Linked DNA regions of Oryctolagus cuniculus. The protein of the gene in region 2 purifies or fractionates together with the protein of the main gene of each other region. This does not show direct contact. Links are inferred from orthologs where the notes say so. Each region holds a gene or a part of one and is shown on either strand. Other genes may lie near its edges.

Region 1 (3,803 bases), on a different chromosome or scaffold from region 2:
TCACTCTGCCCCCATTCTGCAGCTCAGCGCGATTTTGCAAACGGGCCCTCTGCTGATGCTGCCGGCGCCACGCTCCCCCGGCTCCACTCGCAGCTCAGCTGGCAGCGTCTCCGGCCTGAGGCTCAGCTGAGCCGCTCTGAGCGAGGCGCAGCCCCTTCACAGAACCAGGGACCACCCGACGTGCTGTCCACCCCCGGCAGCAGGTGCAAAGCACCTGGTGCTCACAGATGCCCCGGGCACAGGTAACCGTGTCCATTCTGCTGGTGAGGAGACTGAGGCACGGAGCAGGGAGCTGCCCCCGGCCAGCCAGCAGGCCAGCCTGACCCTGGCTCCAAAGGTCCCACAAAGCACACAAGCGCGCCCCCTGCCGGCCAGCCGCTCACCTGCAGTGACGTCACCGTGGACAGGTCCTTGAGCTTCCCTTCTTCGTCCTTCAGGTTGTAGCCCTCGGGCCTCTTGTCTCGCTCGGTGATCTTCCATAGCTTGATGGTTTTATCTTTGGGAACAGAACCGGGCACACAAGCAGGGGACAGAGCGTCCACTCAGCCACTCACCGCGCACGCGCCAGCGACCCCGCCCCCACCCCACCCCAGTCCTGGACTGGACACCCCGCTGCTCTCTTATTTCGCCCGTGATGCACGAGGGGCCTTCACAAAGTTCAAGGAGACGTGCATTATGGAAAAAACCTGTGGATTTGCAGCAAAATACACTCAGCCTCATGTGCCGTGAAGTTTTGTGTCTCCTCCCGGGCTGACACCTTTCAGCGCTTGTCTTCCCTGAACCCTGACCCCGAGGGGAGGCTGCTAGGCCATGGCTGAGACACTCGACCAGGGACGCCACCCCCGTGAGCCGCCTACTTCCCTAAGCCCCTCGGGGACAGGCAGAAGAAGCAGAGCCCCTCCCCAGACCCGGGCTCTGGGCCCCCCCCCCCCCCGCCCTGCAGGCCCGTGAGGACTCAGGGAAGCCGCGGCAGGGGAGTTGGTGCTGGTGTCACGCTGGCGTCCCCACGGCCCCCAGATGCCGCCTTCGGGCAAACACGTCCAGGGTGTTGCCGTCAAGGACTCCCAGATGGCACTAAAACGTGCATTGGTGGGGCGGGCGGGTCTCCCGCACGCGCGGGCCTCACCAAGCAGCGAGGCCCAGACACTGCCCTCGCCGAGCCCTGCGGCAGCCGGCACTGCACGGGCCTCCGCCTGTCCCGTGAGCCTGGGCCTCTCCAAGTCTTTCTCTCTCTCTCTCTCTCTCTCTCTCTCTCTCACCTGCACCTCAATGAATGGGACTCGGAAGAAAATGGATCACAACGCAGCCATTAACAGGCACCCAAGGCCGTTCGCGAGAAGGGGCGGAGCTGGGATCCTACCGGGGAGTGGGGAGGGGAGCCCCGAGGATGACCTTCCACCCAGGAGGGGGCAGGAGGGGCGTGTCCCCCCAAATGAGAGAGGAACAGGAGGAGCCTCGTGCGAGGTGCCCGGGCATCGCCAGACGCTCCTGCCACTGTGGGGGCTGTCGCTGGGGGGACCCCCGGCCGCCTCTGCTCCTGGCCGAAGTTTGCTGGGCGTGGCCGCCGTGCCGGGCAGCCCTTACAGAACACAGATCCTACTCGGGAGAGCCTGGCGGCCTGGTCCAGGCCACGCCCCCCAGGGCCACAGGGCCACACCTCTGACCTGCAGGGCTGGAGGTGAAGGGGCTGAGCAGGGGGAGCAGATGTGGGCAGCAGGCGTGCCCCGGTGGGCGTGTCCTCGCCCTGGGCACCATGGTCCTAGAACAGCACAGGGGCCCCCAGCTCAGCCTACACCAGGTGACAGCCCCCACGGGGCGGCTCAGGGCTTCGATGAACAGTGGTCACTGGGCTTGCTGACCCGGCCTCTCCACACCCCTTAGGGGTGTTCCAGAACATTCCACCATAGTGGGAATGGAAGCTCGGGCACCGTCACCAGCTGCTCATAATATCATCTTTTAGGAAACAGGCGGGAAACGCAGGCGATGCGCACAGCCGGCGCGGCGCTCACCGTTGGTGGACAGGAGCGAGTGGGCAGCGTTCTGCTGCGGCAGCCACTTGATCTTGTTGATCTTCTCCTCTATCTCCAGGCTCTTGAGATAGTCGAACTCGGGCTCGTGGCTCTGGAAGGTGCTGTAGACGTCGTACTCGCCCTGGCTGTGGGGCGCATTCTTACTCTGCAAGGAAACCCGGGACAAGGGCTGAGCTCCGGCGCGGGCTCCTGGCGGGGGTGCACGCGGGAAGCGGCTGGGACCATGAACACCTGAGACCCGACACAGCCACGGCACCCGGGAGCCGGCGAGTGCCCCCGAGCCCGCCACACGACAGAGAGGACTCTGCCCTGATTAGAAGAGGCAGAGAGACGGACAGACGGACAGACGGACAGGGCTTCCATCTGCCGGGCCACTCCCCACAGCAGCCAGCGCGGGGCGCGATGAAGCCAGGAGCCAGGAGCCAAACCCGCGTCCCCCACGCAGCTGGCAGGGACCCAGCTCCTCTGCCTCCCAGGAAGCCGAAACCAGGGCCCAGAGCTGGGAGTGTGACCCAGGCACCCCCATATGGGCCAGGCCATCTGAACTGGTGTCTTAACCCCCAGGCCAAACGCCAACCCCCCCTCCCAGACACACTCTCTACCATAGCCAAGCCTTATCCACTTAACCCCACCGGGGCCGGCTCACACCCGCAGAGCCTCAGAGCACCTGCCGTGTGCCACACATCGCGTCTCCTCCCCGCGCGGCCTCCTTTGCTGCGGGGACGGGGGACCAGGGCTGCCCCTGCTTTCCACACGGCAGGTGGAGCTTGGCCGGGAGTGGCCTCCCGGGCTGTGTGTCCGCCGAGTACCAGCACTCACTCCCCGAGGTCTATCTCACGGCAGTGAGGCGCTGACCACCCTCGGGCTCCGGCCCTGCCTTCCTCCTCGCGTCCACCTGCCCTGACCTGAGGCAGGGACCACGGTTTGGAGCGGATTTGACCCGGGGGTGGAAGTTAGGGCTGGGGGACAAAAGCCGCGGCCGGCCTTCCTGCGCAGGCCCCACCTGTGACGATCCTGGCGGAGCGCATGTGCCGGCCACAGTGTCACCTGTGCCAAACTGGCCCCTGACTGTGTGCGTGTGTGTCCTTGGCAAGCGACCGGTACCTCTGTGCTCTGAACTCCTCAGCCGCGGAGCCAGGCTAGCGACAGCACCTGGGCGTGCCCAGTCAAGGCCAAGGGCAAGCAAGGAGCAGCCTTAGGAGCTGCCGTGCTTGGGAGAGGCGGAAGGGGGCAGGGCTTCCACCCCAGCTCTTCCCTCCTCCTCCCCGGCCTCACCCCTGCCTCCTGCACTTGGCACAGTGTCTGCATGGAGATGTTTATCAGGAGGGTCTTCGTTTCAGAATCGCTCCCCTGGGCACTGCTCTGAAGCCCCCTGGGGACTGACGGTGCAGGGTGGGGTCAGGGGCTGTCAAGCCCAGTGTGGCCACAGACACCTGGACCGCCCCCTCCCTGTCCCCTCTAGCCAGGACAATGCCTGGTCACCCGGGCAGGACAAGGCTTAACTGGAGGCTTGCATCGGGCAGCAGGTTTCTCTGGGGCTGGACAGAGCAGCGCCAGTGAGCGGTCAGCGACATCTCCCGAGTGGGGGAGTCGGGGCATGGCCTCAAGAGTGGACCCCTGGACTCCCAGCCCTGGCCTGCCCATCTCCTCCTGCACCCCTCTTCCTCCGCCAGGGAGCCAGGCTGGGGTTCAGGATGAAGTCCTGCTGGGTTAGAGACCTGCCTGGCCGTGCAGTCCCCACTGCACCTGCTCCCACGTGGCCCCACCCACCAG
Region 2 (3,803 bases):
AGAACGGAGTGCCTCCCCCACTCACGGAGAGAGCAGAATCCCTGTAACCCTTAACACTACGTGGGAAATATTAAATCATAAGCAAAGAAGACATTTGTTGGCTTATATAATTTTGTTATTTCTAGGGGAAAAAGATCTCTTTCTGGCTCTCTCTCCAAGTACTTATGAAAAATAACACAGGGCCCAAAAAAGTGACAACGATTAATGTGGCTCTACTGAGAAGTGGCTCATGTTCATTGCTTGGGTGAAACAATTTAATTTCTGGAACTGGATCAAGCAACTGTTACTTAAGTATCTTAAACTCTTAATAAAAATAATGACTATTAAGAAAACATACTTTATGGCTACAGCTGCTGAGTGGTGGGTGAAAATCCTCTTCTTCCACATACTTCCTCTTAAAGTATGTGATCTTGGATGTTGTTATAGGATTTGAAATTCCCCTGTAATGTGATCCTGTGGTAATAAATCAGATATGACAAATGACATGCGGTTTGCCAGAGGTTCTCCAAACAAAATACTTTCCTTTCCTTTCCTTCCAGAGGATAACTTGGCTGCATATTTGTCTGTGCATGTGGTGATTAAAAATAAACATTTATCTTGATAGTTGCTATCACATGGAATCCTGACCCAGGCTAGGTGAGGATTTCTGGGCAATTATAGAAGAAAATGACATATTTCAACATTTACTAAGTTTACTTAGTTCTAGGCACAGGCAAACATCAACATTCATAAAGGGGAAGAGTATTAACAACTCTAAGATAACATGACTATTCACTCAAATTGTTTAGTTACATCCATGATAACATAACACCACTGTGCAAAGGATACATGTTTAACCGTAACCACTGAGAACCAAACGACTTCCCAGTATCACTGGCTCTAGGTTACTGGACAGATGATTACCTACACACTGAAGTTATGACATTCCTTCTTTCAAAATACAAAATTTAAACTTGTAACTAGGATCCTTTTCACTCTCAAAAATGTAACAAGTCAATTATGACTAAAAGTAGGTCTACATGTTATTAAAGACCCCAGCTTTGAATGCTTTTTTTTTTAAATCAAAACATGCTCCATTGAGTACTTGTTTTATATTCTTTTTTTTAAATAGCCAGCACTACACAAAAGTCCAAACTAACTTGTCTTAGACTATAAGAGTAAAAGATCAGAAAGAACACGTTTCTGTTTTCTTGGCTTTAAAATTGTTCCCCTGCAAGAACCAGCACCAACGGCATACTTCTGAAGAGAAGAGGCATATAGCTGGATATCTCACAGGATACAGGTTTCATTGTCACGCCCACCAGGGCTTGCGCAGCCTGAGAGAACCCTACAGACCACAGGGTAGAAAACCCAAAACCAAGCCCAGAGTTTCAATATTTGGTTTGGTTCAAAAATCCTGATGCACGACTTAGATGCAAGCAGGGGCACAGGTGGACGCAGGTCGGACTGTGATTCAACTATCACTTCCATCATGCCCTGGGCGCCCTGGGCTCACTTCCAGAGGCGCATGGGCAGCCCTGGAAGCCCTGAGAGCATTAGCTCTGGGCTGAGAAGCGCGCCCCAGCCACCACCTCCCGTCCACCAGTCTGGCCGCAGAGGGCAGCACAGGAGGATCAAGGGGGAATACCTGCCAGAGGGGGCCCGGCCCCCCGGTCTCCCTGCGAAGGAGCCTGGGCTGGCCCCGGGGGGCTCAGGCCTCTGCAGCTGTCAGCCTCCCATAGCGTCTGGTATCCGGCAATTTCAGCAGCTCCTTCCGAGACAATGGGCTCGCAGAATCTATTCATGGACAGAACCAGAGTCATCGCTGACAGCCTCAGATCTGGAAAGAAAAAAGGGGAAAGAAAATAGCGCTCCTCCTGAGCGGGCCAGGGGACGGGCTTGGCATCTTCGTCCCTTTGCTTTGGGAAACTTTTACTTCTTGGTCCGCCCCTTCACCCTGCAACGTTTGATTATTTTTTCCAGAGAAGACCTCGGCAAACTCTCTTGCTGCTATTTAGCTCAGCCTTCGTGTTCGGCAAGCCACGTTTCATGGGCGGCTCTTTAAAACCCCACTTCTTATTGTTCTCAGATTCCCCTCAGCCCTCTTCCAGACAGCTGCTTTGCCTTCTAAACACATTTTCCTCCTGACCTTCCCGCAGAAAACGCACCGCTAAGAGGCAGGGCCAAAACCCTTGCGCTTCTTTTCTATTAATAAGGCAAAATCAATTTTCTAGTCGATCCCCTGGGAGTCTCCTTTGATGAAATCCGCTAATCAATCAAAAGAAACGGGTGGAGAGGCAGAACCCTCTACCGTAATTCCAACAGATGCTCAGTGTGTCCCGCTGCCCCCTGCCCCCCCTCCTCTGCTTGCCAAGGCCAGCTCCTCTCCAACATTCTGGGGCTCCCTCCAGCTTCTCCCAGAGCGCGGCAGACACAGAGACACTTGGTAGTTGTTTCCACCAGCCCTGATCGGCCTGAACTGGATCTGCCTCCAGTCAAAACACTGCGAGATGAAGACAGAAAATTGGCTCCAGTTTCAAGCCGTGAGTTGCAGTCCCACAGGAGCCAAGCACAACATCAACGGAGCAGGCAGAATATTAAACAGGAGCCAGGGCTCCAGGGCCAGAGGCAGCCAACAACTCTTCACACTGCAAAAGCCCAGACACAAGGCAGGAACTTTCCAAGAGGCAACACCTCGCTGCTCCTCTCTCCAGTTCACGCCCTTCCTCTGGTCCAGCAGGCTGCTGGGCACCTCTGCCCTGCCCCACTCCTGGGTCTCCCATACCTGGGCCGGTGGTGGTAGGAGTATGGGGGGGGGGACACTTCCTGGGGGTTCCGTGTCTTCACCTGGTCCTAGGCTGGGCTCAAGCTGGGGTGAGGACTGAGCCCAAGGGAGAAGAAAGTCTGCGATCAGAGCGAAACGACTGAGGGGCCAGCAGAGCAGCCGGTTACTTAGGAGACCAAACCTCCTCTCTCTGACTTTGCAGTTTAAAGAACTGTCACCAAAGAGATGTCAGGCCTGGCTTTCTGAAGATTGACTGTCTTTCAGCTACACACCAAGGGTCTGGTTCTCGCTTTCTTTTCCAAATGACACAGCTCATGTCGCTTTGCGGAGGCCTCTCTGATCGTCTCGCGGGAGACTATCATTACCTACATGCTTTGACAAGGGTCCACTCCCAGGGAAACGCTGGCAATCGCCAGGGGAAGGGCAAACAGCTTCATTAAAGTGACAATGGGCTGGGGCTAACACAGCAGCTCTTGGCAGCAATGACTCGATCTTTCCCCCAGGCCTCTCTCTCTCTCAGGTTTCAAATGTGGCTCCAACCCATGAAGAATGAAGCCAGGCTTTCTGACATACAGGAACAGCATCCAGGTCAGTGGCTAGAGGGGGGCTGATCTGGGCAGCTAACCCGCCTCCTCCTCTTTCACAAAGCTCTTCCCAGAGCCATCAGCAGGGGCTTACTAGAAAACCTTGTCACAAAAGAGAAAAAAAAAAGGTTCAATTAATTCTCTATAAAGAATCAGAGACATCAGCCAAGAAATTTAACCTAACATTGATTTATCAAACTTAGCTGTTCTCCCACTCCTTAAACTTCATATCCAAGCAAGGCATCAAACCTCCTGGTATTTTATTCCTTGAAGACACTCATGTGGTAATCCGATGTCTTATCCTATTCTAAGAGATGATCATATCAGAAAATGCTATTGCTAGCAGTTTGCATCAGTTGGTAGCTCTCTCCTATTGGCAGCAACCATAGTATCCAGCTTGAAATTGGCACTCACTTTTCCAAGCCCTGGCCTGCGGAGAACTTTTCTGACAGATA

The links.
Region 1: the proteins of SERTAD4 (region 2) and PPP2R2C purify together in Homo sapiens (affinity purification with mass spectrometry; 3 studies listed by BioGRID and IntAct, counting the BioPlex papers as one, with this or other methods). This does not show direct contact. The link is inferred for Oryctolagus cuniculus from reciprocal best matches to the Homo sapiens genes SERTAD4 and PPP2R2C.

What each region holds. Positions count from the first base shown.
Region 1 is NC_091433.1:3,537,307-3,541,109, reverse strand, and holds part of PPP2R2C (serine/threonine-protein phosphatase 2A 55 kDa regulatory subunit B gamma isoform), read right to left. Parts: intron 2,176-3,803; coding exon 2,010-2,175; intron 497-2,009; coding exon 384-496; intron 1-383. UniProt on the Homo sapiens protein: The B regulatory subunit might modulate substrate selectivity and catalytic activity, and might also direct the localization of the catalytic enzyme to a particular subcellular compartment.
Region 2 is NC_091444.1:25,084,758-25,088,560, reverse strand, and holds part of SERTAD4 (SERTA domain-containing protein 4), read right to left. Parts: intron 1,820-3,803; 5' UTR 1,803-1,819; coding exon 1,628-1,802; intron 454-1,627; coding exon 338-453; intron 1-337.